Linked DNA regions of Pelodiscus sinensis. The protein of the gene in region 1 binds, or shares a complex with, the protein of each later gene. Links are inferred from orthologs where the notes say so. Each region holds a gene or a part of one and is shown on either strand. Other genes may lie near its edges.

Region 1 (7,632 bases):
AATACCCGGCTATCAGTGTGATTATTAAGATATATTTTCATATGTATTATATTTGAGGGTATGAATACCCTAGAAAATCTGCAACTATTCTTCAGAACCAACCCCCCACAAAAATCATATGCAAACTTTGCAATCAACACTGGGGCAAGCCTAACATTTTTGAAGGTGGTTTAGTGAAACAAGTTCCTGGAAAGTTTATACGATCCTCGTTGGTTGGTGTGTTTGGACATCGAGGAACCAGCTATTGCTGGTGGGAGCTGAGTGGCTTTTTAGTATTGCTTTGTACTACCCAAGACTTGGAAAAAGCCAGACTCCTTGAATGGAGGCATTTACATTCTAAATGAATAGCTGACAAAATTTCTTTAATATATATAAACAAACATCCTCAAGAAAAACTAATAAAAGGATTTAGTCTATGGCAATTCTTAAAATACAGGTCATGATATGATTAATCCTTTGTCCATAGATAAAAATTCCTACCCTCCTACCTACAATTGCATTTAAACATAGTTTAATAAAGCAAAGGGCATATATATCAAGTTCAGACAACATAAAATCTTTTGTCAGTTGCACCTCTGTGAGTTTGGCAACATCCTTGTCTCTTTAAAAATAATAATTAAAAAACCAATATTGATCATATAAAATAGTTACTAGTTAGTCTACCACAGTGCTGAGGGCTATACAAGTGCCTACATATGCATTGTTATCAGTAATAGGTTTCACAAAGCTTCTGAGGACACATAGCTTGGACATTTCCTGCAAAAATGCTGAGGTACCTGTGGTGCCTCAGATGTTAGAGCACTCACCTGAATGATGGAGCTGGGGTCAATTCCCTTCTCTACTTGATAGGAAGGTGGAAGATGCCTTTTCAAATCATACCACAATAGTGTCCCACCCACTGAGATATAGGATATTCTGATACAAGTCTCTTTCAACCTCTCCTCGTGAAGCTGTTCCTCTGATTAGACAGCAGAACCTCAACAGGGGTATTGTGAATGCCAGTAGTATCCAAATATTGAACTTTAACATCAATGGCCTTTTTAAAATCTAGTCTGTTGTTAATACTCTAGTTTTCATTACTGTTGTATTTGTGATGAGGGTTGGGAAAAATTAAGCAGAGAACACTTAAAAAAAAGCCAGCAGTGAAAAAATCTGCAGAGCCTGTCTTGCACTGTAGCAGGCACAATATCCTCTATTCCTCAATTGCTTCTGGTTCTCTCTCCCTATGGTATACTGCATTGTTTCTCAACTTTTTTTTTAAAAAAAGTACTCCTTTTAACAAAAAAAATTAAATACCCCCACCACTTAGAGTTTTCAGATACACAAACATTTTTTCTACCACTGCAACACATTTGTTTAAAAAACTTAATTGTAGCTGGGTGGGCAATGAAATTTTGGGGTGTGAAAAGTAGAAAAATAATAAAGCGCTGTAAAACTTAAAACAAAAATTCAGTTCTCCAAATTTCAGTTGTTGGCGTACCCCCTAGATGTCTCTCGAGTTCCCCTAAGGCAGTAGTCTCCAACTTTTTAAAGCACAAGATAAATTCAAAAAGTGAAGTCAGTCCAGGATCTACCTCAAACTCAAATACCCCTGCCCCACCCCTTCTGAAGCCCTTCCCTCTTCACTCTGTGGTGATGGGGTACAGGAGAAGGGGACAGAATGACATATGTGCCCCCTGCCTCTTTCTCCCCCACCCTGCACAAGAAGCAAGAGGTTCCCAGGGGGCAGCTCTGAGGCTCTGGGCAGGAACAGCAGGGTAGTGAAGAGAGGAGCAGCTGAAGTGCCAGCACTTGATAGCCTCCCAGACAAACCAGTCAGGATCACCTGCCAGAGGCTCCAAGATCCACTGGTAGATCCTGACCTACTGGTTGGTGACCATTGCCCTAAGGGCACTCATACCACTAGTTGAGAAACACTGGTATAATGCGGTGAATACATAGTCTTTTACTGTCAGCACGCAAACTGAGACTTTATTTCAATCCAGGCTATTGGTTCAGATATCTCCTTGTCAACTGGAATCCACAGAGTGTGTTCCAAGTACTGATGTGGGCTTTTAATTTTCTGGTGTGCAAAAAGTTGTTGCCTCATAAGTTCTTTACTGAAATCTACAAGGTCAACTGTGAATCTAACCCAGAAATATTTTTCCTCCTCTGTACCTGCCTCTCTGTTTTTCTGACTTAGGTTTATCATAAAGTGTATGCAGTCGAGGTCCAAATATTTAAACTTGTGTGTTATGGAAACAAATAGTCACCCTAATAAAAAAAGTAATAACCACATTTCAGGTTTAAGTGGGGATGTTAAAATACACTTTTGCAAAAATTAATGTAACCACTGAAAATTTCACTGGTTACGTTTACACGCAGCTCTCCCCGCCCCTGCTGCTGCCTCTGTGAGAGGCACAGGGAGCCAGATGCCTGCCTCCCATCTCCCCCACTGCCTCTGATACAGAGGTAGCAGGGAGTGTGTGCATGCGCGTGCCTGTCACCAGGAGTTACCCGATGAGCTCAGGCTTATCAGTTAGCTGTGTACCCGAGTACACGTTAACATCCCTAGTTTTAAGACAGTATCTAAGTATTATGAGGTTAAGGAGGTACTCTCTTGGAAGGCAGATTATCTTACATCTGCTTAGTACCATTTCTTACACATTTCTGTGAAGCATCTGATGTTGGTTATTGTCAGAGATGGGATCCTGGGCTAGATGAACCAGGTGTCAGATTCAGTAAGACATTTGCTATGTGTCCAGGGGCTTCAGATTTTTCAGCTGTGAAGTTTTGTATTTATATAGTATTTATATAATTTTAGTTAGTTCCTCCAACATTATTTGGCTTCTCTGGAAATAGTCTTTGGTATTGGGAAAGCCACCCTGGCTTATTCCTCCAGCTTTGTCACCATTATGGCATCCAGTGTTCCCGCTAACTTTTTCCATCCACGAGTTACTACTGCTCACTGAGCTGGTTTTATGATGTCGCTGTGACAGCTGTCTCCTGTCAGCATAACACAGCTATATGAATGCTCTTACAGCAGCAGAGTTGGTGCAGTTGTGCCACTGAAAGCTAGTAAGTGTATTCACTACGGATGTTAAAATGCATTTAAGTAAACAGTTACCCACTGCAAATTTCAGTGTTGCATGCGGGAGAAAGCAGTTGGCTCCTGTTAAGTCAGCTCCCTATGCACACTGGGAGCCTGAGTGTAACTGTGAAGGTTAACCGATGAGCCCAGTTATACTTTCACACCCCTAGTACACATGGTCTCCAGGTTTGCCTACACTTAGGACTTGTCCACACTTAAAATACTACCATTGCTGTGCTTCAGTATAGACACTACTTACCTATGTAGGTGGGAGAGATTCTCCTTGGTGTAATTCACCTCCTTGAGGCAGTAGTTAGGCTCATGAACAAATTCTTCTGTTGACCTAGCACTGGCTATACAAGATTAGATCAATTTAGTTTACATGACAGAGGTAGCTAGGCCAATATAAGTTCTTGAGATAATCAGTTGCCAACCTGTACCATGAACACAGGAGAAGAGGGGCGCTGATGTCAAGGTATCCTATCCCAGTCCGTATCCTATGTCCACAGAGCAGGGAGGGGGGGCACAACAGGACTTGGAATGGAGGGAGTTTGGCTGCTTTTGGGAATAGTGCAAGGCCAGGGCTGGGGTGAGCCTGTCTTAACCCCACTGCACCACCACCCAGGAGCCACCTGAGGTAAGCGGTGGCCCACTGGAGCCGACATTCTAAACCCCAAGTAATGAATCCCCTTCTGCACTCCAAGCCCCTGCTTTAGCCTCAAGCACCCCTGCAAACACCCTCCCAGAGCCTGTACCTAGAACCCCAACTGCCTGCCCTAAATTCAGCTCAGTGCCCCTCTCGCACTCCAAATCCCTTAAACCAAAACCAGGGCCTGCACCCCAACCCTTTGCTACTGCCTGGTGAAAAAGAGGGAGGGTGGGGGAGGAAGGGAGGGAGGATGGAGTGAGCAGGGGCGGGGCTCAGAGAAGGGGGCACAAAGGAGGCGGGGCAAGGGTATTTGGGTTTGAGGTAGATCTTGGATTGTACTTAAATTCAAAAGGTGATCTCGTGCTTAAATAGGTTGGAGACCACTGTTCTAGCACATCAATTACTAAGTGATCTGATTAATCCTATTTTGCAAACAGCCACAGAACCTGAAGAAGTGCTGTATATGTAGCTCCAAAGCTGGTCTCTCACCAACATCTGTGCGCCCAATAAAAGATATTGCCTGGCCTCTCTCATCGCCTAAGAGCAACATGGCTACAAACAAACTCACTGTAACTCTCCTACCCGCTCATCCAGTGTCAGCAGGCGCATTAGCTGCCCTGCCTTGGGGCTGACGCGCCGTAACGCCAAGCGGGGCTTGCCCCTTATCTCGCCAGCCTGGCCGCGGCCTCAGCTCTGTACGAGGCAGCAGGCGGAGGTCAGAGGCCACAGGGCTCCGCCTGCTCCAGAGGGCAGGGCGGTCCGGCACCAGCCACGCCAGGCCCAGCGCGGCGCCCCGTCCCTTCGGCAGCGCTTGCGGGACGCGCCAGACACCGTGCCACCCGCCCCAGCCCCAGCCCACTGCCCCCGGCTGTGGCCCGGCTCTCGCGGAGGCGCCTGCTGCCCCGCCCCCATTCCCTGAGGGAGCGGCTCACACTACAAGGGAGCAATCCCAGGCCCATGCGACGCCGCTTGCGCACTGGCGAGCTGTCGGAGCGAACACAGCGCATGCGCAACAGCTCAACCGCCTTGGGGCAAAAGTGACGTCAGATCACGTTTTCAGCCTGTCCGTGAAGAAGCCGATGACAGCTTCCATTGCCCGACCCAAACATGGCCGTCTGCGTGTCGGGATGCGGAAACGTCCGTTAGGAGCGTACTAACTCCTGGCACATGCCACGCGCTGTGGAGGAGCCGGGTTGGGGCTGGCCGGCGGGGGAATCTCTCGGTTCATACAGGTGCGGAGGGCTCGGTGGGGAGGGAGCTGCGGGGCGAGCCCGGCCAAGCCAGAAGTGCGGGGTTCGGGGGGGCTCTGAGGTGCTTAGTGCCCTTTGCCCTGCAAGGCCGGGCTTGGGCCATTCCCTGGCTCTTCTTGATTTGGAGTCTGGGGAATTAAGACCAGTGGAAAAAACATCATTTGGCAGCACCGTCAGGCACTGGCCAGGGACTTAGGAGAACTGGCTGCAGCTACCAGCTCTAAGATGGACCCCCTGTGTGTTTGGGGTAAGGCAGGCTCGTGTTCCCCTTGTTAAGTGGTGCTGCTGTAACAAAATAGTAATAGAAGTAATCTGCCTCCCTCTGCTTCCCCGTCCTAGAGCTTTCCCCATCCCCTCACCTATGGGACTTTAAATAAACAGCCCACATCACCATTTCGTGTGTGTGTGAATTTTTTAAGGTGTAAAAGTTTTCCTCGCAGGTGGAAGACATGGACAGTTTTGTTGAACAATTGACAAGAGGGGCACAGGAGGAGTTTACAGAAGAGTCTGCATGGGATGGGTCTGCAGTAAGGATTGAAAGCAGTTCACTTCCAGCTATCCATTTACCTGTACTTCCGAGGTATCTTCAGCATACAAGTAAGTGTAATTTTCTGTTAACTGCTTACTCATAGTAGCACATACTGGTAACTAGGGCTACACTACAATGCTATTTCAAGATACTGGAGTATCCCGAAATAGCTATCCTGTGTCTTCACAGCAAGCCCATTATTCTGGGCTCACTATTCCTGTGTTCCTGTAATCCTCATTCTACGAGGAGTCAGGGACCTTTTGGAATAGCATAAGAACATGTGGCCAATACCAGAAGCCCCAGAGGGAAGGAACACAACAGGTAGTCCTCACATGATCCCTCCCCTGTCGCCCACTTCCAGAGAAACAGAGGTTTGGGACACCATTCTGGCTAATAGCCATTGACGGACCTAACCTCCATGAATCTATCTACCTCTTGTGGTGACCTTTCAGTTTAATAAATCAATTTGTTTGAAAGCCTTCTTTACTGACACCTCAATCTGGATCCATTTGAGATTTGTCACTTAAAAATAATTGCTCAGGTGTGGGAATCTCCCCATATCCTCTGCAGTCAAGACCAATATCAGTAATTCATTTATCTTCTTAGCAACAGCCTTTTTTCCCTTGAGTGCTCTTTTAGCACATGGATCATCCAGTGGCCCTTCTGATTGTTTGACAGGCTCCCCACTTCTGATGGACATAACACTCATTTTGCTGTTAGTTTTGTGTCTTTTCCAGAATGCTCTTCAAAGATGGATTTTTGGCTCTTCAAAGATGGATTTTATATTTTTATATTTGACTTGCCAGAGTTTATGCATCTTTTTATTTTCCTCAGTAAAATTTAACTTCCAATTTTTAAGGGACATATTTTTGCTTCTAACTGTCTCTTGTACTTTAAGACACTGTGATGCTTTCTTTTTTTTTTTTTTTTTAATTTGGCGTATGTGTTTAGTTTGAGCCACTATTATGGCATTTTTTAAAATTGTTTCTGGGCTTCTTGCAGGAATTTCATTCTTGTGACTGTTCCTTTTAATTTCTGTTTAATTAACTTCCGTATTTTTGTGGTGGTCTCCTTTTTGAAGTTATTTTGATATTTTCCCCCTGTACAAGCATGTTTAATTTAATTTAATTTTGGTCGCTATTATTGAGTGGGTCAGCTATATTCACCTCTTAGACCAGGTCCAGTGCTCCATTTAAAACTTTTCCCTCGTGGGTTTCAGGACTTGCTGCACAAAGAAGCAGTCCTTAATGGTGTTTAAAAATTTTATCTCCCTTCTTTTTATCCTGCTTGCCATCCTAAGGCAAAATATATCCAGTCGATATGGGGAAAGTTGAAACTCCCCATTACTATTGGGTTTTCTGTTTTTTAACCTCTGTTCTCTCCCTGAACATTTTACAATCACTGTCACAATGAGATGGTCAGTAATACATTCCCACTATACTCTCGTTATGTAAGCATGGAATTTCTATCCACAGAGATTCTGTTGATACTATTTGATTCATTATGACTCTATGCTTTTTTTTCCATGGATAGTGCCACTTCCCCCACCAGCATGATCTACTTTGTCAGATCTATATAATTTTTACCCTGTTTTCACTATATCCTATTGATTATCACCATCCTGCCAAGTTTCTGTGATGCCCTATTTTATCAGTATCTTTCACATTCAGTTTTACCCATCATAGTGTTCAGACTTCTAGCATTTGTATAGCACTTATAAAATTTATCAATATTTAGTTCTCACATGAAGGCAGACATAATTGAAAAACAGTCTTTTGACTGTTCTTCATTTCCCACCTGTACTTTATCAACTTCCAGCCTCTCTTCTTTATTAGGATGTAGAGTATTCTCTTTAATAAATATTCCCTTACCGTATCTCTGTGTCCAAACTGGACGCTCCACATTTCCAAACCTGCTTGTTTTCTCCCCAACTCCATCACAACCTTTTTAATTTTACATGCCACCATTTTGGTGAAGGTAGAGCCCATCCTTCCTATATAGGTTCTTCCTTTCCCAAAAGATTCCTAATAATCCCTCCTCTGAATACCATCATTTAATTCACACTTTTGAGACCGTGCAGTTCTGCCAAAGTGGCCCTGCATGTGGAACTGGATGCATTTCAGAGATTGCTACC
Region 2 (7,626 bases), on another chromosome or scaffold:
CGGAGGCATGGGCAAGCCGGGCAGCTGCCCAGGGTGCCAACCGATGGGGGGCGCCTGATGGCAGCTGTAAGGGGCGCGTGGCGTCCCTTACAGCTGCCATCAGGAGCCGTGCGCCCGGCTCCCGCAGTGCTGGCCCCGTGGCGCCGACTAGCAGCGCCCTGCCCCCCACAGCTGCAGGGCCCTGCACCGCCCGGTGCACGCGCCAGCAGCGCTGGCTGGGCCAGGCTGGGTAGCGCATGCACCGTGCACCCCGGGCTGTGCGCTAGCGGCTGTGACTGGCCCATGCATTCGCCAAGTGCCCCGGGGGCGGGCCCTGGGCTGCACACCAGCAGCCGTGGCTGGCGTGCGCAAGCGCCCTGCACCTGGGGGCAGCACCGTGCTCCCAGGCTAAGGGTGCCAAAAGGGCTTGGGCCGGCCCTGGTTACACTCAGGGGCCGGCGTCATGTGGGGAAAGAGTTAACCACTGGCCCGTGTGGCATGGAGCTGATAGGATCATGGAGGGCGGGACGACACAAAGTAGAGCAGCCATGCGACCTCTCTCCGGAGCACTGGGGAGGAGGGAAGCCGCATGCCCCCAGTGCCATGCAGCTCGCGGCTCCCATTGCCTCAGGCCTCGCGGGGGCAAGTTGGAGTATGGGGGAGGCTGCATGGCTTGTGGCTCCCATGGAGCATGCGGGGGAGGGGGAGCCGGGCATGCGGGATGACTTCACTCTGTTGTCCCGCAGGAAAATCCTTTTGAAAGTATAATAAGATAAGATGTCGAAATAACTGCTTGTGTGCTTGTGTTATGGGAAGGAGTAAATAACATTTCCTTATTTACTTTCTCCATACCAGCTGTGATTCAATACATCTTTATCATATCCCCTTAATCATCTTTTCTAAACTAAAAACTCCCAGTCTTATTAATCTCTCCTCATAGAGAAGCTGTTGCAAACCCTAATCATTTTTGTTGCCCTTTTCTGTACCTTTTCCACTTCCAGTATTTCCTTTTTTACTAAGTCAGAATGACCACATTTCCATAACAGTATTCAAGTGTAGGCATTCCATGGATTTATATAGAGGTGATGAGTTATCTTCTGTCTTATTATTTATCCCTTTCCTAATGATTTCCAACATTGTTAGATTTTTGACTGCTGCTGCACGTTGAGTAGATATTGTCAGATAACTATCCACAATATACAGGTCTATGTAGCACTTTAAGACTAACAAGATGGTTTATTAGATGATGAGCTTTCGTGGGCCAGACCCACTCATCATCTAATAAACCATCATCTAATAAGCTCATCATCTAATAAACCATCTTGTTAGTCTTTAAAGTGCTACATAGACCTGTATTTTGTTTCAGCTACACCAGACTAACACGGCTACATTTCTACCATTATCCACAATATAGGGATGTTAAAAATCTGTTAATTGAATAGTAGAGTAACCTCCTGAAATTTTATCGGTTAGTTGACTATTTTATAGTCCCCTGGGGCAGGGCCAGCAGTGCTGGGTGCCAGGTGGGAGCTGGTCTGCAAAGGGAGCCAGTTTAAAAAACAGATCCCCTCACAGACCGGCTGCCTGTTGCCCTGTGCTGCTGCTTCTGAGAAAGAGGCAGCAGCATGGGTCTCAGCTTCTGGACCGGTGTGAGCCAGAACTGAGCTGCCTCCCGATCTAGCTCTTAATACACTTGAAATGCAGAGCTGAAATGGGGATAGGTCCTAGACCCATGGCAAGCCAGGACTGAGCCAGGCTGCTGGCCAGCCTGTTAAAAAATTTACTAGCAGGGAGAGGGAAATGCATGTAGTCTATAGCATTAACCGATAAGCTTTTGCTTATCGGTTAATTGACTATACCAGTGGTCACCAACCTTGGAGCCTCTGACAGGTGATCTCGACTTGTTTGGCCATGAGGCTGTCAAGTGCAGCACTTCAGCTGCCCCTCCCCCCACTGCTGAGCACCTCCTGCTCTTTGCCTTCGAGCTTTTTTCTTTTCCCACCCTGTGTATTCTATCTCCAGCGAATGGATGTGGAGGGCACAGAAGGGTTTGGGATGGACAGAATTTTCTGGCTGCTTTTGAGAATGGTGCGGGGCCAGGCAGGGGTGAGCCTGCCTTTAGCCCCATTGCAACACCACACAGGAGCCACCTGTGGTAAGCAGTTTCCAGCTGGAGCCTACATCCTGAATCCCTCTCCCAGTCACGTACCCTCTCCTACACCCCATCCCCTGCCTCAGCTCAGAGTCCTTTTCACACTCCAAATCCATATGATCAATGCCTGCACCCCAACTCTCTGCCCCTGCCTGATAAAAGGGAGGAATAATGGGGGAGGGAGGGAGCTGGAGCAGGGCCTTGGAGAAGGGGAATGAAGGAGGCGGGACAAAAGTATTTGGGTTTGAGGTAGATCCTGGATTGCACTTCAATTCAAAAAGTGATCTCATCCTTTAAAAGACTGGAAACCACTGGACTATACTATTACATCCCACCACCAGAGGCATGTAGTCTAGACGTACCCTTAGAATGAGAAGGGTAGCCCTGTTCATCTGAATCTGCATAAACAACCAGAAATCCTCTGGCACCTTATAAACTAACAGATTTATTAGAGCACAAGCATTTGTAGCCCTTCTGCCGGGTAGGCCTGGCAGGAACCAGGGCTGGGTTCAATATCTTGGGGTCAATCTCACAAAGAACCGGCTCGAGCCCCCACCCAGTGATCTGGGAAATTCACGCACCCCTGGGCGCCTCTGAGAGGCAATGCTTCCCCACTCGCAAGCACTGAGTCTGAGTGTAGGAAAAGAACATTTAATGAAACAGAGGAAGAATTCATACGGCATTAGCTTGGGGAAAACACCACAAACAGAGTTCATAACCCAAACATGAGCCCCCACCCCGGCCAAGATTCGCCCGAAGTCCACCGACTCCCCAAAAGTCTCTGTCCCCACAAGTCTCTGTGCCACCCAGAGCCCCAAAGTTCACCCGCAGGGTTTCACCTCCCAACCTGGGTAGAAATGGGGGTGGGGAGATAGATAGGGGGCACCTTATACGAAAACTCCGCTACGCTTCACCAGCTGTCTCGTCCCACACCTCTGGACGCTCCGCTGGGCACCTGTCGCCACTTCTCGCCTGCTGCCGCTCCACGCCACGCCACTGGTCGCCGCTCCTCGCCTGCCGCCGCTCCATGCCACGCCGCTAATGGCCGCTCCTCGCCTGCCGCCGCGCCACGCCACTGATGGCTGCTCTTCGCCTGCCGCCGCGCCACGCCACGCCGCTAGTCGCCGCTCCTCGCCTGCTGCCACTCTACTGGTTGCAGTAGGTCTGGCTCTCAGCCAAACCAGTGATTTCAGCTTAGTGATTTCAACTCTCAGCCAAACCAGTGATTTCAGCTCTCAAATGAATCCAGCTTTCACTGGACTAGCAAACAAAAAGACTCCTCAGGGAGTCTGCTTTAGGTCTGTCCTTAAAACAAAGGGGGAAAGGTGCAGGCTGGGCCAGTCTTATAGCTCACACCTGGTAGGTGTGAAGCAGGCTGACACAAGTCCTTTAACCCTTTCCCCCAGCTCTGTCCACTCAACTCTGGAAGGGGGGAGGCTTGTTCTTCCGAGACCTCTTACCATGATGGTGGTGTCTCTCCTGCAAGCACTGGTGGCATGTTTTACAGTTCCCACATTTAGGGGTAGCATGATTAGTGACCCCCACAACAGTCCCAAATTATATACAATTCTCCACATTCCATTCCAACACTGACCCTCCATCAGCCCTGGCTGAATGGAATTTACATAGCCACACCTTGGATTCTCTCCTGAGCAGTATTTACATGTCAACAGTTAACAGTTAATTACCTTGTAGAGCTAAACAACTGTAGTGGGCACACCCACCCCTCCTTTCAGCTGGCTGACAGCAAGCAGCAGTTCAGCCCCTGCTTACACATTCATGGGCAAAAGTGGGTCTTTTAGCCACAAAAACTTGTACTCTAATAAATCTGTTAGTCTAAAAGGTGCCACAGGCCTTCTCCTTATTAGCCCATTTTCTGTAAGCATGGCTTTGGGACCTCCCTCTGCAGTCTATCAGTTTGGTTTGGGTAATTGCAATAATGTTAAAATTAAATGAGTACACTAGCAAGAAATTGTTTTATTTCACTAACTACAAATTTTCTGTTTTCATTTAAAAAAAATTTTAAACAGTCAAAAAATTGCAAAGTGCAAACGTGGAAAAGCCAAGAAAAAAGAGGGGTCGGCCAAACAGTTTTTTGCTTGGGGTGGAAAAAAACAAAGAGCCGGCCCTGACCGCCAAGGCTCTCCCCTGCGAGCGAGCTCCCAGTACTAGTCCCCCTCCTAGCCCCACACAAAATGGCGCTTCCTTCCCGCCCGCAGTCCAGAGGCGCGTTTTTATCTCCCCTCCCACAGACACTGCGTAAGTAACTAGCGCACGCAGCTAATTCCTACAGCTACCAGCCCCTGACACTACACCGGCCAATCACGGCCCGTCTTAGTTACCATTGGCCAATAGGCACGGCGATGCCACCATAGGGGCGTTCCCACCTGCAAACCTTCTCATTGGCTCGCGCCCAATCATAGCCATGAATTGATCCAGCGACTCACCTCCCAAGCGCATGCGTATTGTAAGTTATCTGTCCTAAACCCGCGAGAGGTGACTTCGCGCGTTTTCCTTAGCCACTGGCTAGCGATTGGAGCTACAGCGGATGTGACGACATGGACCCGGACCCAGTGACCGGAAGGAGCCCTTTGAAACGACGGAGGCTGGTGCGCGGCGGGCAGGTGAGGTTGGTAGCAGGGTTGCGGCGGGGCCTTTGCAGTGGCTACGGGGCAGGGAGCTCCCCGCAGATTCGCCCAGCCGTGCCCGGCTCCCTGGTGCTGTTGCGGCGGCAGGCGGGCGTGGGACGTCCCGTTTGGCTTGGCGCGGTGCCGCCGCCCTGGATCCCCTCTCCCCTTGAAAGCTTTATGCGTGTGCCCGGGGCTAGGGGCGGCCGTGCCGGGCGCCTGGCGCCCTCTGTTGAGGGGCTGCTCTGTCTGAAGCGAGAGCCGGCCCAAGCTAGGGGCTGACTGGGCGATAGGCCCGGGCGCCCGATTCTATGGGGCGCCACGCGGTGCGGCCGGGCGGGGCCGCGCATGCGCCGCGCGCCTGGGCCTGAGTTTGCAAGAATGAGCCGCGCGCGCCCGAGGCGGGCCGCGCATGCGCCGCGCGCCTGGAGCTGAGGTTGCAAGAATGGCTTGGGCCGGCTCTGTGTGAAGCCCGCTTGACGGGAAGGCAAGGCGCTAACTCCTCCACGTCCCTCCATTTGCAGAGTCTGCTTGTCCTTTGAGCCCTGATCCTGAGAGGAGACGGAGAGGTAGGTGGAGGCGGAGTCATGGGGTAAAGCTGTGTGTGGCTGCTAGTCTGTAACAAACGTTTGGGAGTGCTCCCCTCCATGCCTTCCTACCTGCCCTAACTACCTTGCACTCCTTGTCCACTAGTGACCTCAGAGTCAAAAAGGCCAATGTAGAGTGGCAGGTTTAGTGGCTTTTGTGATAAATAGGGCTGTCAAGCAATTAAAAAAAACAAATCAGAATCAGTTATACTATTAATGAGGGCATATATAAGCATGGCTATACTGGGTCAGATCAAAGGTCCATCTAGCCCAGTATCCTGACTTCTCAGAGTTTCCAATGCCAAATGCTCCAGGGAGAGTGAACAAAAACAGTCATTTGACAGGTTTTCCATACTACTTATAATTTTTATTGCCCCTTTCTGAACTCTTTCCAATGTTTGCCAATACATCTTTTTTTAGATAAGGCGACCGCATCTGCACACAGTATTCAAGATATGGGTGTACGCTGACTTATATGGGTGTACGCTGATTTATACAGAGGCAATAAAAATATTCTCAGTCCCTTTTTTTAATGATTCCTTATGTTCTGGGTTTTTTTTTTTTTTTTTTTGACTGACGCTGCATGTTGAGTGGATGTTTTCAGAGAACTATCCATAATGACTCCCAAGATCTCTCTCGAGTGCTTATAGCTAAATTTGTCCCCATCATTTTGTATGTTTAGTTTATTTTTCCAGTGTGTGTTACTTTGCATTCATCAATATTAAATTTCATTTGCCATTTTGTTGCTGAACCATCTACTTTACTTTTAATTATCTTGAGCAGTTTTGTGTCCTCTGCAAATTTAGCCACCTGTTTACTCCTTTCTCCAGATGATTTATAAATAGGTTAAATAGGATTGGTCCCAGTACTAACATATGGGGGACACCACTAGTTATCTCTGTCCATTCTGAAAACTGACCATTTATTCCTACCCTTTGTTTCCTGTCTTTTAACTAGTTATCAGTCCATGAGGACCTGCTCTCTCATCCCATGACAACTTACTTTACTTACAAGCCTTTTGTGAGGGACCATGTCAAAGGCTTTCTGGAAATAAGTACACCATATCCACTGGATCCCCCTTGTCCACATTCTTGTTGATCCCCTCAAAGAACTCTAGTCAATTAGTAAGGCATGATTTCCCTTTACAAAAATAATGTTGACTTTTCCCCCCAACAAATTACGTTCATCTACGTGTCTGACAATTCTATTCTTTCCTATAGTTTGAACTGATTTGCCCAGTTCTGACATTAAATTTACTCGTCTGAGATTGCCAGGATCGCCTCTAGAGCCCTTTTTAAATATTGGCATCAAATTAGTTATCGTCTAGTCATTAGGTACAGAAGATGATTTAAGGATAGGTTACAAACTGTTGGGTGAATTCCATCTGGTCTCACTGACTTAAGTTTATCAGTTTATTCCAAAACCACCTCTAATGACATCTCAGTCTGGGACAATTCCTCAGATTTGTCACCAGAAAGAATGGTTCAGGTTTGGAAATCTCTCTAACATCCTCAGCTGTGAAGACCAAAGCCAAGAATTAGTTTAGTTTCCTCCGTAATGACCTTATCAACTTTGAGTGCTCCTTTAGCATTTCAATCATCCAGCGGCCCGACTGGTTCTTTAGCAGGCTTCCTGATTTTCTTAAAAAATATTTGGTTGTTACTTTGAGTTTTTTTGGCTAGCTGTTCTTCATACTTTTTTGGCTTTTCTTATAATATTTTTACACTTAATTTGACAGAGTCTATGCTCCTTACTATCTTTCTCACTAGGATTTAACTTCTACTTTTTAAACAATGCCTCTTTATCTCTTGCTGCTTCTTTTACTTGGTTAAGCCACAGTGGTACTTTTTTTTTCTTACTGTGTTTTTATTTTTTGGGGTATACATTTAAGTTAGGTCTCTATTTTAGGGTCTTTGAAAAGTTTCCGTGCAGATTGCAGGGATTTTACTTTTGGCGGTGTACCTTTTAGTTTCTATTTAACCTCCTCATTTTTGTGTAGTTTTCCTTTCTGAAATTAAATGCCTCGGTGTTGGGCTGCTGTGTTGTTTTTCCCTCCACAGGGAAGTAAAATTTTATTACATTGTCACTATTTTCAAACGGACCCGTTATATTTACTACTTGGACCAGATCCCGTGCTCCACTTAGGACTAAATCAAGAACCTCTCCTTTTGAGGGTTCCAGAACCAGCTGCTCCATATTTTTGGATATTTCTACATTGTCAGACTTCAATTAGAACAGAATTCAAAGTGTACAGGGCTCATTTTGCAAATATTTGTAATCA
Region 3 (7,355 bases), on another chromosome or scaffold:
CTGTGGCAACTCTACTGCGATCCCATGCAGCATCCTGGGGGGTTACATTTATAATCGTTTCTGTAGGATTGTGTTCTGCTCCATGGAGGAGGACTTCCAGGTGCTCAGTACAACGGGGTAATTACTGTCAGCATCTTCACTAGGACCCTCAGGGTCCAGGGTCAGAGGAGGGACAAACCTGAGGCTTGGAATAGGAGAGAAGTTCATGGCCAGACTCCAGGCTGGGGTTGGTACCCAGGGACCAGGTCAGATTTCAGGCTCTGGGTCAGGAGGTAAAGTCAAAAGCCAGGCGTTCAAGACCAGAACAGCAGCTACAGACAAACCACATGACCTGGATGCTTCTGGGAACGCCTCCCAGGTTTAAATAGGTCCGGGAGCCAATCAGGAGCCATGGGGCTGCTGCCTGTCAAACCCCGGAGGCGGGACTTCCCATAGTTTGTATGCGCACTGGACCCCAGAATGTTGGGACCTGCCTTGTGGCGTGTACACAGCTTGAAGTAGCAGAGACGTTCATGGCCAGACTCCAGGCTGGGGTCGGTACCCAGAAGCCCCACTCCTTGGGGAGCCCAAACTGGATTTTCCAGTGGCAGCCACCGAGAAAGGTGTTTCGGTCTGAAGAGCTGGGCTTGAGCTGATGGAGGGATTCCCTTTTGATGCAGCAGACAGGCAAGAAGGGTTGGAAAGTCTTTGGCTTGCTAGGATCCCATAAGACTCATGCCAACCTGGGCTAAGGCTACAGCCTCTAGGACCGGGGTGGGGGACCTAAGGCCCCCCGCCGAGGCTCAAGGCTTCTCCCCAGATTGGGGAGCATATGCTGGGCTCCAGCCCTGCCTCCACAGGACTGGAGCGCCCACAAAATCTACTAGCCTGGGCCCCTCTAAGCTCTGGTGTGTGAGGGGAATGTGGGGAGGGTCTTTCTCTTTCTCAGGTGAAGGCCACATCTTTGGTTTTTGTTTTCTTTTGTTTTGCTTCTCACTTGTGCGTGTGGCCTCTGAACCAAAAAAGTTTCCTAACTCGTCTAGGAACTTGTCTTGTTTGGTGCTTATCCTCTCTGTGCCTTTTGTTTTTGTTTTTTGTCCTTACAATAAGTGTACTCTGCTGGGACACTGCTGTGGGGTCCCTACTAAAAGCACAGGCATTGTCTTCCAAGGCTACGTCTACACTGCCAGATTTTGCGGCACAAAATATGTGAATGAGGGACTCATTTCCATGAATTGCAATCTCATTTGCGTATTTTCTGCTGATCCGTTTTTGCGCTAGGGCTTTTTGCACAAAAACAAGCAGTGTGGTTGTTTCCTTTTTGCGCAAAAACCCCTTTTTCCGCAAGATCCTTATGCCTCAAAAAAGGAGGTATACCAATCTTGCGGAAAAAGGGGTTTTTGCACAAAAAGGGAAAACACTTTGTTTTTGTGCAAAAACGCTTAGCGCAAAAATGGATCGGCAGAAATTATGCAAATGAGATCATGACTCATGCAAATGAGTCCCTCATTAGTATATTTTCTGCCGCAAAAACTGGCAGTGTAGACATAGCCCAAAGGAACAATGTTTTGGTATGGACAAGCCCTCAGACTTTACTCCTAGGCTGTGTCTACACTGGCAAGTTTTTCTGGAAAATCAGCCGCTTTTCCGGAAAAACTTGCCAGCTGTCTACACTGGCCGCTTGAATTTCCGAAAAAGCACTGACGATTTCATGTAAAATCATCAGTGCTTTTCCAGAAAAACTATGCTGCTCCCGTTCGGGCAAAAGTCTTTTTCCGGAAAACTGTTCCGGAAAAGGGCCAGTGTAGACAGCACAGTAGTGTTTTCCGATATTCCACGCTTAGCCTCATTTGCATATTGCTCGCACAAGAAGCCACGAGTGTAGACATAGCCTAAAAGTGCAGAGCGTGGTAACCAAAATGATTAGCATCTGAACAACATCTGCATGAGGAGACATTGAAAAGCCTGGGATTTTTCAGTTTGGGAAAAGAGATGACGCGAGGGAAATGTGGTAGAGGTCTATAAAACCTTGACTGGTGGGACAAAAGTGAAGAGGGAAGTGGTATTTACTCCTTCCCATGACACAAGAACCGGGAGTCACCCAATAAAATGTAATAGGCAGCAGGTTTAAAACAAACAAAGGGAAGTACTTCTTCACACAGTCGACCTGTGGAACTCATTGCCGCAGGTTGTGAAGGGCAAAACAATACAAGTTCAAAAAAGAAATAGATACAGCAATGGATATTGGTGTCGATGGTCAGGGATGCAACACTAGGATCAGAGCATCCCCAGCTTTTGAATGCCAAATGCTGGGAGTAGATGCCAGGGGCTGGAAATGTTGATGGTTGCCTGTTCTCTTCATTCCCTCAGAAGCAACTGGCCTTAGCCTCTGTCAGAAGACAGGGTCCTGGACTAGATGGAATATTGGTCTGTGGTTGTTTTTATGTTCTAATATTACATGTGCACAAATAGATGCTTTATCAGTAGTAGCAAGTAGTAGCAATCTTTACCAGTCAGCCTACCACACTAGCTGGTTGCAAAAGATACTGCGATAAATATTTATGTTCACAATCACACCTCAGGGCACCCATGAACATTGGGGCCTGTTGTGCTGTGCACAATATAAGCACATAGGGTACATCTACACTGCGGAGCTATTTCAGGATACCCGAAGTATCCTGAAATAGCTCTTCTGTGTCTATTGAAGCAGCCAGTTATTTTGAAATAGATTTCGAAATAACAGGCGGTTTATTCCAACATCCCAGTTACCCTCATTCCGCGAGGGTTAAGGGGAATTTTGGAATAGCGAGCTATTTCAAAATTTGGCACTGTGTAGACAGCACCAAATTGCAAAATAAGCTATTTTGAAATAGCATCAAAATAAGCTATGCAATTTGCATAGCGCGAATTGTGTAGCTTACTTTGAGCTAAGGGTGCTGTGTAGATGCACCCATACTGAGCTCTTCAGAGTAAGCATTCTCTCTATCTCAATAGACATGACCAGGTAAGATTGGGAGAGGAAATAGAGGCACAAGAATGTAACGTGCCCCAAAGCCCGCGTAGTCGGGAAAGCGATTCCAAACATTTTTGAAAAAAGTTTAGACACTGACAAAATGTTCAGTTTCGACAACTTCTCAATGCAAAGGTTCCATTTTGTTTCCAAACAATTTCTCAGTGAGAAATGTTGAGTCATAGTTAAAAAAAATTAAAAGCTAAAAAAGATCTAAATTGAAACCAAATGTTTTAATTTACTTGATCCAATTTTTTTTTTCAGATTATTTTCGTTTAAGGACATTTGAGCTTTTTGACCTTTCCTACCTATTTGTAGGAATTTTTTTTAAGGTTCCAAACCTACCATGGAACGGGAAGATCACCTTCAGCCCAGCATTAGGATCATCTATATGCCCACAAAAACAACACAGCAGAATTATTGCGTGTGCACACAGCTTGTATCCAGAATGAAAGGGGTAGGCCTTCACCCTCCTTAACATTTTTGACTCATCTTATGTGGAAAAGACAAGAGGTACATTTTTAAGGTTTTCACAGAGAAGGATCACTTTGAAAAGCTACTAGCCCCTAGGTGAAACAGGGGTATCTGTTTAAGACACCTCAGTGACAGGACAGAGTTTTTAGAGCAGGAAGTGAACAAGGCTGAAATCCATGTAGAATTGTAGAATTTTATCCACCCCCCCATGTTAACAAAGATAAGACTTTTATTCCAAATTCCTTAGTGTAGACAAGGCCTAAAGATACTGTTTATATTTTGGTTCCTTCCCCAGACCTGAAGAGCTGTGTGTAACTCAAAAGCATGTACTTTAAACCAACAGATCTAATAAAAGATATTACCTCACTCATGTTGTCTCTGGCTTAGTACTCTAGCTCCCACTTCATTACCAGCATGTTTAAACTAATCTGCATTAATCTGTGGTAACAAAACCATGTATACACTCAGCAGTGCTGTCTGACAACCCCTTTACATTTCTCCATATATAAAAAAATATCCCTGGTGCCTGATACATATCTAATGCAACAAGGCAGGCAAGCATTTGCACACAGTGTTATGGGAATCCCTGCATTGACAGCCAAAGCCAAACCATGCAGCACCCTCCTGGTCTCACATGTATAGGCCTTAGAGCAGGTCCTCCCACTCTTCCCCCCCAAGAGAGCTCATAACACTTAATTGCTTTTTTTTTTTTTTTTGGTCTGTAGAAGCCGCTTGCTTATTGGGATTGCCATTAATTTGACAGGCAGATCCCAGACAGGGGATTGGCTAGCAGCAGATGACGCCCATAACAACAAAGGTGGAGTTGGAAAAATTAGATTAAAAAAAATTGAGGGGGGGGGGAGGAAATGGAAAAACTCTCCCTTCACCCAGCCCCCTCCGGCTTTGAAATATCCAAGAGTGTCAATTTCACGGTATCGTTAACAAATCCAGCGGTTCACGCAGTCCGGGAGGAAAGTGTGAATTTCACTCTCGACCTGTTTGTGCATTTCCTGGTGCAAGAGACACACAACAAAACTCCCCATTTTTTTCCCCGTCTCCTTCTTCCCCGAGAGCCTGTTTACAAGGCAGCCACTTGCAGTGTAGTTCAGGTTCCTTCTTTTGCGTTGGTGCAAATGTCTGTCCCCGCTCTCGGAACTTGACAAAGAAAATCTGAATTTTATTTTTGTGCATAGGTGGAACTTTAAAAAAAAACTTATTTTTTTTCGTGCTATTCGAGGTGGGTTGTAGGAAATCGACCATGTGAATTTTTGGTGCAAACGTCAGAAGAGGATTGTTGCAAATGTAAGCTTTTTTTTTTTCCTCCTTCTCTTTCCCTGTCTCTCCCTCCTCCTCCTCCTCTTCTCTTCTTTTGGCTACAGTGTTGCAAAAGCAAAGAGCAATAAACACGCACAGAGAGAGAGCGAGAGAGTCAGAGAGAGACAGACACACAATCCCGTAAGAGCCAGAAGAGAGTGAAAAGAGACGAGACCGATTTCTCTGACAATTCCGTTTAGGGAGCAGATGGAAAAGTGGAGACTTGTGAAGGGCTGTGAGGTTGGCTAAGGATCCAGGAGCGAAAAGAGCCCGGCTGATTGGAAGAAAAAAGCAGAGAGATGGAGGCGGGGGAAGTGCAATCTCTCTGCGGGGACTGGAGCGAGTCCACGCCCGGGGCCAGCGCTGCAGAGCTGGCTAGCATTCAACCAGCGCTCCCCAGCTAAAGCACCCAAAAAAAGCCGTCCCCAAGCGCCTTCTCCAGCCTGGCTGGTTTGCAGGTAGGTGCATTTCGAAAAAAAGACCCGAGACCTCCAGCAGTAAACGCGCCCGATGCAGCCCCCTGTTGCAAGGGAGGGTGGGTGGGAGAAGGATCAGGGGGAGGGGGGAGAAGGCACGATCCGAGGCTACGCTGGCTGCACCGGGCTGCTTTGCTGCAGCAGGAGCGCATGTGGAGCTCGCCATTAGCCGACGCTCTGGTTCGCCATCTGGGGCTGGAGGAGGCGCTTTGTTTCCTCCACAGGCTCCGGTGGTGGTTGGCTGCAGCAGCTGCTGCTGCTTCCCCCCGGTTGCAGACTCGGCGGCCGCCCGGCTTACTCGGTGAGGGGAAGGCGCTCGGGGGAGCAGGCAGCGGGGATCGGGGGGCTTTTTTGGGGGGTAGCGCGGGGAGATTTCGGGGCGGGCGGCGCGGGGTTGGATTTTCCACGCGCTCGCAGCCCGGGCAAGGCCCCGCGGCTCGCCAGGCAGGAAGCGGCGGCTCCGGGAGCCTCGGCCCGCCGGGGATAGGCGCGTACAAAGCGGCTCCCGAGCTGCTGCAGAACCGGACCCCCCGGAGCCGCGGCGGCAGGGAAGGGGGCGCAGCCGCCGCCGCGCGGAAGGGGGGACTGCACGAGGTAGCAGCGTGGCCCCGGCCGGGCAGCCGCGGCGGGATTTCGGGGGTGGGCTCCCGGGGCCGGGCGGTTGTCCCCCCCACCCCCCCCATCCACCCACCCCGTTCCCCTCCGGAGCTGGGGCGGTCGCCGTCGGGCGGGTGCGTGCCCAGGCTGGCTCCCCTCCCCGGCGGCCGCGGGGCTCCGGCCCCCCGCTGGGCTGGGTGGTTCTGGGCCGGGCCGCGCTCCCCGGGGGTCGGTGCGGGGAGAGGACGCGCTGCCCTCGCCCGGCTCTGCGCGCTGCGGCGGCCCCGACGCCCCCCGCCGCCGCCTCCGCCCCTTCCCCCCGCGGCTCCGGCGAGGCTGCGGCTGCCGCGGCGGCGAGTCCTGCCCCCTCCCCCTGCCCTGGAGGTGGGTCCGGCGGGCGGCTTCCGCGGCGCGCTGGCTGCAGCCGGGCTGGGCGGCGGCGGGGCGGGCGGAGCCGGCCAGTGTCTGCCCGACGGGCCCGGTAACCGGGCGGCCGGGGAGGGTGGCGAGGTGCGGGGGCCCCGGAGGGCCCGAGCCTCCGGGGGGCCGCGCGGCGCCGGGCGCCCCCGGGGTCTGCCCGCCGGGGCGAGGCGGGGGCCGGCGCGGTCCGCGCGGCGCCGGGCGGGCGGGCGGGGGAGTCGCCGCGGCGCCCGGCGGAGGAGGCCGCCTGCTCTCCCCGGAGGGGGTGGGGGAGGGCGGCGCAGCGGCAGCTGCTGGCGCGTCGGTCCCGCCCGGCTGCCGCTGCCTGGTGGAAGAGGAGGAGACTGGCGCTGGCCTGAGCTGCGTTTGGGCAGGGGCTGCGCAGGGCACGTGGGGATCCCTCCCCCCGCCGTCCGGGCCTGCCCCTCCCCCCGCCCGGGGATCTGCCCCCCCCGCCATCCGGGCCTGCCCCTCCCCCCGCCCGGGGATCTGCCCCCCCCCGCCATCCGGGCCTGCTCCTCCCCCCGCCCGGGGATCTGCCCCCCCCCCGCCATCCGGGCCTGCTCCTCCCCCCGCCCGGGGATCTGCCCCCCCCCCGCCATCCGGGCCTGCCCCTCCCCCCGCCCGGGGATCTGCCCCCCCCCCCCGCCATCCGGGCCTGCTCCTCCCCCCGCCCGGGGATCTGCCCCCCCCCCGCCATCCGGGCCTGCTCCTCCCCCCGCCCGGGGATCTGCCCCCCCCCCCGCCATCCGGGCCTGCCCCTCCCCCCGCCCGGGGATCTGCCCCCCCCTGCCATCCGGGCCTGCTCCTCCCCCCGCCCGGGGATCTGCCCCCCCCTGCCATCCGGTCCTGCCCCCCCCCCCGCCCGGGGATCTGCCCCCCCCCCCGCCCGGGGATCTGCCCCCCCCCTGCCATCCGGGCCTGCTCCTCCCCCTGCCCGGGGATCTGCCCCCCCCCCCCCCGCCATCCGGGCCTGCCCCTCCCCCCGTCTGGGGATCTGCCCCCCCCTGCCATCCGAGCCTGCCCCTCCCTCTCTCGGAGATCTGCCCCCCCCCCCCCCCGCCATCCGAGCCTGCCCCTCCCTC
Region 4 (7,670 bases), about 130 Mb from region 1:
GGAACTAAATATGTTCAGCTTAAGAGATAACTAAGTGGAAGTGGTTATAATAATCAATAATCTGTGGATATCATTAGTGTATTAACAAGGGCCAGATTATGACTAACACATGCAGAAGAAGGGCACATGGAGTCTCCTTTCTCTGTGTAATTCCTTTCCTTAGCTCCTCAGCTGTGTAAATCACCCTGGAAGGGCTGGGGAGAATGCAAGGTTATGAGTTTATTCTCTCACAACTCAGCCAGCAGAATTTGTGAGGTACAGAGAGGCAGGGGTCCTAGAATGATTGTTATAGTGTGGCCTAACCACATAAGCCATACCATCACAGGGCTCACCCACCTGCAAAACCACTAATGTGATATATGCCATCAAGTGCCAGCAATGCCCCTCTGACATATATATTGGCCAAACCAGACTGTCTCTACACCAAAGGATATATGGACACACATAAACTGGTAGGGGAACACTTTAACCTCCCTGGACATTCAGAAATGGATTTTTGAAAGTAGCCATCCTTCTACAAAATAATTTCAAAACCCAGTTAAAAAGGGAGACATCTGAACTGGAGTTAATTTGCAAATTCAATACAATCAATTTAGGATTGAATAAGGATCTTAACTGGTTAACACACTACACAGGCAATTTCTCCTCTTTTTATATTCACATCTCCACACCAAATGCTGTGAATGAGCCACTTCCACTCTGTCTTGATTAGCCTCATTACCACATATATACCCCGCCTCTGTAACTTCCACTCCAATTTTATCTGATGAAGTGGGTTTTACCCATGAAAGCTTATGCCCTAATAAATCTGTTAGAACCCCAGACAGCCTGAAGAAGCTGTCATTGCAAGGCTCTGAAATTTTACATAGTTTTATTTTGGAATACAGGGATTTCTGTGCATCCTTCTACATTTATAAACTCAACTTTCTTGATAAAGATATTGTACTACAGTATTTGTAATGGGGGAATTGAAAGATACTACTTATTTTAGTTTTTTACGGTACAAATATTGGTAATAAAAACATAAAGTGAGCACTGTATATTTTTATTCTATTTCAGCCTCTGGCAGCCTGACCAGAGCCAGAACCAATCCCCGACAGTGCGGGCTGCTGGAGCCCAGCAGGTAGTCTGGCTGGGGCAGCAACTGTAGAGTCAGCAACCCAGCAGGAAGCCCAGCAAGGGCTGGAGGTAGTGCCCCCGTCTCATTCCCCTCTCCCTCCCAGTTGGCAGAGTAAGACTAGGTGCCGTGGCAGGGAACCTTCTTTGTTCTGGCAAATTCACTATTTGGGAATGGTCAGGTCTCAAAGGTGCTGGATAAATAAAAAATCCAAATCTTCACTGACATGGCCAGCAACTAAGAAGGAGAAAGACACTGCCCCCAGAGCCTAAGGGGCCCCAGCCTAATAGATTTTGTGTACTCCAGCCCCACAGGAGGGGGCAGCCCTGAGCCTCACGAAGGACTATTATAAAGAGGATGGTGATCAATTATTTTTCATGTCCACTGAAGACAGAACAAGAAGTAATCACCTTAGTCTGAAAGAAGGGAGATTTAGGTTAGATATTATGAAAAACTTAAAAACTATAAGGCTTCCAAGGGAGGCTGTGGAATCTGTGGCTACGTCTACACTGGCCCCTTCTTCGGAAGGGGCATGCTAATTTTCAACTTCAGAATAGGGAAATCCGCGGGGGATTTAAATATCCCCCACGGGATTTAAATAAAGATGTCCGCCGCTTTTTTCCGGCTTGGGGAAAAGCCGGAAAAAAGCATCTAGACTGGCCCGATCCTCTGGAATAAAGCCCTATTCCGGAGGATCTCTTATTCCTACTTCAAAGGAAGGAATAAGTAGGAATAAGAGATCCTCCGGAATAGGGCTTTATTCCGGAGGATCGGGCCAGTCTAGACGCTTTTTTCCGGCTTTTCCCCAAGCCAGAAAAAAGCGGCGCACATCTTTATTTAAATCCCGTGGGGGATATTTAAATCCCCCGCGGATTTCCCTATTCTGAAGTTGAAAATTAGCATGCCCCTTTCGGAGAAGGGGCCAGTGTAGACGTAGCCTGTGTGTGTGGTGGTTTTTAAAACTAAGTTAGACCAATGCCTGTCAGAGATAGCGTAGCTATACTAAATCCCGCCTCAACACAGGAGGATGGACTAGAGATAACCTGTAGAGGCCCCGTCCAGCCATACACTTCTATGATTCTATAGCATCTACTGTGCATGGAACACCCATCATGATCCAACACCATGTTTCTACATGTTCAACTACATCAACTGAAAAAAGTATACTTAGAGTTTATGTATCACTATACCTGTTCAAAGCATTGTACTGAGATTAACTAAATTATTCCTGACAAAACTCTTGTGCTGTAGGAATACAGGCATTGTCATGTGGCATTGAAACAGTGGTCTGTCTTTGAGAGTTGCCAGTACCAGATATTTTTAGAAACACACAAGAAATTCTGAAAAAAATGTATGGGATAATGTGTCCATAAAGAAAGTTTCTTTATTACCCCCCACAGTTAGAGGCTGGCTTATACTCTGAAGCTAAGCATGAGGGTTTATAACTCTTCCAGACTTTGTTTTTTAAAATCATAATTGTTGGAACTCTGGGGTTTTTCCTCATTGTATAAATGTCCCTTTTCTGCCAAGTCCTTGGCCTCAGTGATATTTCATGGTAATTAATTCCACAGACTATGGATGTTAGTTATCAGTTATTTTACTAGGCGAGTAGTCGATGGAATTTCCATCAACTACTCGACTAATCGATAGGCACTTCCGCATTCCTTCTTTGAAAAGTACAAGAGCCCCCGCCATTCCAATTCCTCCATTTCAAAGGAGGAATATGGAACTCTGTGTGCAGCCCGGGACCAACAGGAAGACCCACTGACTCTGGGCTGCACATGGGTGTGCCTGCTTTGAAGTGTACAAGAGTCCCCAGCAGGGGCTCTTGTGCATTTCAAAGTGGAACCGCAGCATGGAGCCCGAGGTCAGTGGAGGACTAAAAGTCCCTCACTGACCCTGGGCGCCATGCTGCACTGCCGATTTGAAATGCCACGCGGAGCCCGGCGTCAGCTGGGGACTCCCCAGCTGATCCCTGGTTCTGCATTGCATTTCAGCCAGGGATCAGCTATGCGGCGCTGCCCCTTTGAACGCTGCCTCAGCATTTCAAAGAGGCAGCGCTGCACAGCTGAGCTGGGGATCAGCTGTGTGGTGCTGTCGCTTTAACTAACCCCTCTTCTCCCCCCCTTTGCTGCTTCTATCTGATAGAGCCAACAAGGGCGGGGAGGGGATCGATTAGTCAACTGACTATCCGATAAGCATTGCTTATCGGATAGTCACTTAGTCCTTAACATCCTTACCACAGACCAATTGCATTTTGTTACTGTCCCGACATACAGATGAGAAAACTGAGACAGCAAAGCACTGGCAGGTACAGGTTTTGAACTCAAGGTCAGGTCAGGATTGTGATCTCCTGACCCTTCCCCCAATCTCCTCAACAAAACCCCCATTGCTCGCCGTGTTGTGTATCTAGCCTTGCTAAGTATCTACATAATTTTATTGCTATAACTTCTGCCCTTCTTTTCCTGACCCTTGTATACAGGAGTGCAATTGTAATTAACTAACTAACAAACAGGGATCAGATGGAACAAAATTAAAAGGGAGGAGGATCTGGGGTTTCTTCCCAGGAAAAAGCAAATAGCATTTTACATCCCTCAAGAACCACATTTCTTGCCCACATTCTCCCTCTTTCCTTTCATCCTCAGCTTCTGGAAGGCCTTCTTATGCCTCAAGAGCATCCCATAAAGCTCAGATTTCTGCTTAATTTCTTTGCACTCATGGTCTCCAGGAACTCTGCCCTCCCCAACATCTTTCCTCCTTTCCCCCTTTAGTACTCAAGAACTCCTTCTTACTCCCTATCAGTTCTGACCTCCCATCTCTGGGACTTGCTTGGGCTGCTGCTGGTACTTTCTGTGACCTGATTAGAGAGAAGATCTTTATGCCACAATTACTGGCTTGTGGCTTCTCTTTTGCACTTAGTACATTTTTGGGTGCTATGAAATAATTAGTATTTCTCATTAGTAAGAGCAGTAAGACTTTTCACTGTCTGATATGGTTCTGTGGTAATTGTAACAGCCACTCTATGACATGGACTTTTGAACATAATGACAAGCATTTCTTAGGTGGCTATAGATACCAATCCTTTGGCCTTGCATCAGATGGCTCTGCAAAAACATGTGATTTAGAACAGCTTATGGTATTGCTCAGACATTTAAAAAAACTAAAAAGTTTGTCAGAACAGTGTCCTGTATCAGGACATAAAACTGAGCCCTTGACCATTAAACAACTGATTTAAAACTAATAAACAAATATTTTTACATAATGCATAATTAACCTATGAGACTCATTAGCACAATATATCAGAGTCCAAGCTCTTAGTAGGATTTAAAAAAAATATTATTTATACATCTACATGGATAGGGACAACCATCACAGTTACATTATAGAAGGAAGATTATAAACTGTCATGGTTCAGGATATAAACTAATCACTAACTGGCAAAGACTAGGAAAAATTTCTCCTTCAGGTTGTACTATAATCGTTCTTCTGATGCATTTGGTAAAGTCTTAACTCTTTACGTTTCAAATATGAAATATCACCGAAACAAAGGTCTGTAATAAAAAAATAAAAGTGTGGTGCACATTCGGAGAGGGCGGATCTAGCTCCGCTGGTGCGTCTTGTAACAGGTGGACAGCAGCGAGGTGCTTCTCCGGGAGCTCAAGCAGCCAGGGCCACCAGCTTTCTGCCCTACAAGTCCCGGGCTCAGTCCTCAGCTGGCGAATAATGCAGCAGCTTCCGCCTCGGGCTGTGGCTCAGTCAAGTCCGCGGGGCAGATTCCCATCCAGGCTGAGCCCAGGGGATGCAAATCGGCGCCGCCTGCCCGCTGCCTCGGGGAAGGGGCGCACGAGGCGGGCGCTCCCTGGGGAGCTGAGTGGCCCTAGGACCCGGCCGGAACCCAAACGCGCGGCCCCGGTTCCTGGCCGGCTGCTCTTCCCCCGCGCGCTGCCGCCGGAGCGCGAGGCCCGAGGCAGCGGGTTTGAGGCGCGCGGGCCGCAGGCATGGAGGAGGAGGAAACGGTGAGACGCGGCCCGGAGCCGCCCGGTGCGGGGAGAGAGCGGGAAGCAGGGCGGGGGCGCGGGGGCGGGGTTAGGGAACGGGGGTTGGCGAAGGGCTGCGGGTGGTGTCTGGGCGGCAATGGGGGTTGTGGTGGGAGGGCGGATTGACATGGGATGGGCAATGGGGCGGGTATGAGCAATGGGGCCATTTTGAAGGTCGGGGTTTTTGCCCTGTTAACGGGCAGACAAGGATGGGGTAGGCTGGGCTGGGATTGTGGTGTGAGTGTAGGTAACAGGTGGCCAGAGAGCAGCAGCTGTTCCTGGGTGCCCAGTGCTGAGGCAGTGCCCCACCAGCAGCCATGCAGAAGAAAAGGCATCAATCCCATGCCATGTCACCCGTACTTCTGCGCTGCTGGTGATGGTGGCTCTGCTTTCAGAGCTCGGAGCCTGGTCAGCAACTGCCATTCTCCCGCTATCTTAGGCTCTGAAAACAGTGTTGCCACCAGCAGCAGTGCAGAAGTAAGGGTAGCAGTACTACAGTACTACTCCTTTTCCCCCAATACATTTGCAACCCCTGCTTCCCCACACACACATACACATCTCCTTTTTGGATCAGACCCTTTAGAATTACAACATGGTACAATTTCAGATTTAAATAGCTGATGTGACATTTACAATTTTTAAAGCCCTATGATGGCAAACTTGATCAAAATGGACAGTGAATTTGGTAGGTTTCTGCCTATGGTTCATTGAAATAACTTTGCATTTTGCGAGATGAAAGGACACTGACAGATTAAGGATCCACTGTGGGCAAATCAGTGCAAGTGACTTTTGGGGAGGAGGGTATCTATGATCCTGAACTGAATGGGTAATTAATGATTTAGCAGAACAAGTTAAGCTGATTTAAGAAATTTTAAAATCTGCAAACAGAATTTTACGATATTAAAAAATATTTCTCCCATCGATTCTCTCCCATGTCCTCATTCCTTCCATAACAGTGGTGGAAAAAAGGACCTCCGCAGGCTGGATGTGGCCTGCCAAGTGGGTTGATTCAGCCAGCAGAGGCCCTGCCACTCCCCCACCCCCAGGCCAATTAGGACCTGGGGGCAGGGGGGAGTATATGAAGTTTCCTTCGCCCTGACAGGAGTGCGCAACTCCTTGTAGGGTGGCAGGAGACTTCATACACTTCCTGCACCCCCAAGCCCTGATTGGTCTGGGGGCAGAAGAGGGAGCACGCAAAGTCTCCTCTCACTGTGAGGGGCATGGATACCTAGGGGGAACTTCGGGAGGGGGGGCAAAGGCGCTCTCCCATCCCCCTGGACCAATCATGGTCTATGGGTGGGAAAGCATCCTCTCTTCCTCCCCCCCCCCCCCCCCCCCCCGCTCCTTCTGCTCGAGGCCCCGCGCCTTCCGGTTTGGCCTGAGGCCACTTCAAAAATTTCTGAAGTGACCCCTGGCAAAAAATAATTGCCCACTGCTGATCCAGAATGAGACCTTACTTTTTAATTAATCTCTTTTTCTTGGGTGTCTCTAGTCACCTTTTATTCTTGCAGGCTTTCTTCCATTCCTTGTGTTCTCTAACTTTTTTTTTCTGGTGTACAGTTTACTAAAGTTTTCCTTCACTTCTTTTTTTGACTGTCAGCTAATATTCTCTTCCCTTCCTAATGTTTTGTTAATGTCCTGTAGTGTCAAGTATTCTAGGCATTAGGGATGTAAAATCCCATTTAATTAGTTAGGTGGTTAAGCATTAAGTTTAATCAGTTAACCGATTAAACGGGGCAGGTGGGCCCCCTGGGAGCTGAAGCAGCCTTCACTGGTTAACCATTAACAACCATGCTAGGCATAAGTTACATGGGTTTTCACCCTGTGATAGTGTTGCTGTGTACAGCAGTTAACACAGGTCAGGTAAAGAATTGGAAACATATATTAATTACAGTGATAGACCCAAGAATCTCGAATATATTTAGTTTAACAAAGAGAAGATTAAAGGGTAACTTGATCACAGTTTATAAGTATTTTTGTGGCGAACAAAAATGTGCTTCTGGGCTCCTCAGTTTAGTAGACAAAGCTATAGAAAAAGATACCATATCTGGAAGTTGAAGCTAGACCAGACATGGGCAATAATTTTTCATGGGGAGCCACTCCAAGAATTTGGTAAGTCACAGGTCTCAGTTTTCTGTGATATTAATGGAGGAGTGTGGGGTCTGTGATGGAGGTTAGGCTCAGAATGGAGCTTGGGGTAGGGGATCAGGATACACCAAGGAGTCTGTAAGGAGGTTTGTGTGCTGGAGAGGATTCTGACCTAAGGCAGGGCTCAAGGAGGGGGTATAGAGGGTTTGGGTGCAGGAGAGTGTTGTAACCTGGGGCACGAGTTGGGGTAGAGGTTAGGGATCTAATAGTATAGTTGATTAACTGATAAGCAAAAGCTTACTGGTTAATGCTATAGATTACATGCATCCCTCTGCCAGTACGTTTTTTTAGCAGGCTGGCCAGCAGCCCGGCTTAGTCTTGGCTTGCGCCGGGTATGGAACTTACCCCTGCTGTGGCTCTGCTTTTAA

What was found.
Region 2: TAF1A (region 1) and TAF1D share a complex: the UniProt entries of both Homo sapiens proteins name them as parts of the transcription factor SL1/TIF-IB complex. The link is inferred for Pelodiscus sinensis from reciprocal best matches to the Homo sapiens genes TAF1A and TAF1D.
Region 3: TAF1A (region 1) and UBTF share a complex: the UniProt entries of both Homo sapiens proteins name them as parts of the pol I pre-initiation complex. The link is inferred for Pelodiscus sinensis from reciprocal best matches to the Homo sapiens genes TAF1A and UBTF.
Region 4: TAF1A (region 1) and TAF1B share a complex: the UniProt entries of both Homo sapiens proteins name them as parts of the transcription factor SL1/TIF-IB complex. The link is inferred for Pelodiscus sinensis from reciprocal best matches to the Homo sapiens genes TAF1A and TAF1B.

What each region holds. Positions count from the first base shown.
Region 1 is NC_134713.1:154,524,826-154,532,457, reverse strand, and holds the start of TAF1A (TATA box-binding protein-associated factor RNA polymerase I subunit A), read left to right. Parts: upstream 1-4,618; 5' UTR 4,619-4,951; intron 4,952-5,409; 5' UTR 5,410-5,418; coding exon 5,419-5,566; intron 5,567-7,632. UniProt on the Homo sapiens protein: Component of the transcription factor SL1/TIF-IB complex, which is involved in the assembly of the PIC (pre-initiation complex) during RNA polymerase I-dependent transcription.
Region 2 is NC_134711.1:305,249,308-305,256,933, reverse strand, and holds the start of TAF1D (TATA box-binding protein-associated factor RNA polymerase I subunit D), read left to right. Parts: upstream 1-4,621; 5' UTR 4,622-4,755; intron 4,756-5,282; 5' UTR 5,283-5,327; intron 5,328-7,626. UniProt on the Homo sapiens protein: Component of the transcription factor SL1/TIF-IB complex, which is involved in the assembly of the PIC (preinitiation complex) during RNA polymerase I-dependent transcription.
Region 3 is NC_134739.1:7,330,205-7,337,559, forward strand, and holds the start of UBTF (nucleolar transcription factor 1), read left to right. Parts: upstream 1-4,348; 5' UTR 4,349-4,765; intron 4,766-4,792; exon of another isoform or gene 4,793-4,977; 5' UTR 4,978-5,235; intron 5,236-5,375; exon of another isoform or gene 5,376-5,554; intron 5,555-7,355. UniProt on the Homo sapiens protein: Recognizes the ribosomal RNA gene promoter and activates transcription mediated by RNA polymerase I (Pol I) through cooperative interactions with the transcription factor SL1/TIF-IB complex.
Region 4 is NC_134713.1:27,654,380-27,662,049, reverse strand, and holds the start of TAF1B (TATA box-binding protein-associated factor RNA polymerase I subunit B), read left to right. Parts: upstream 1-4,659; 5' UTR 4,660-5,115; coding exon 5,116-5,133; intron 5,134-7,670. UniProt on the Homo sapiens protein: Component of RNA polymerase I core factor complex that acts as a GTF2B/TFIIB-like factor and plays a key role in multiple steps during transcription initiation such as pre-initiation complex (PIC) assembly and postpolymerase recruitment events in polymerase I (Pol I) transcription.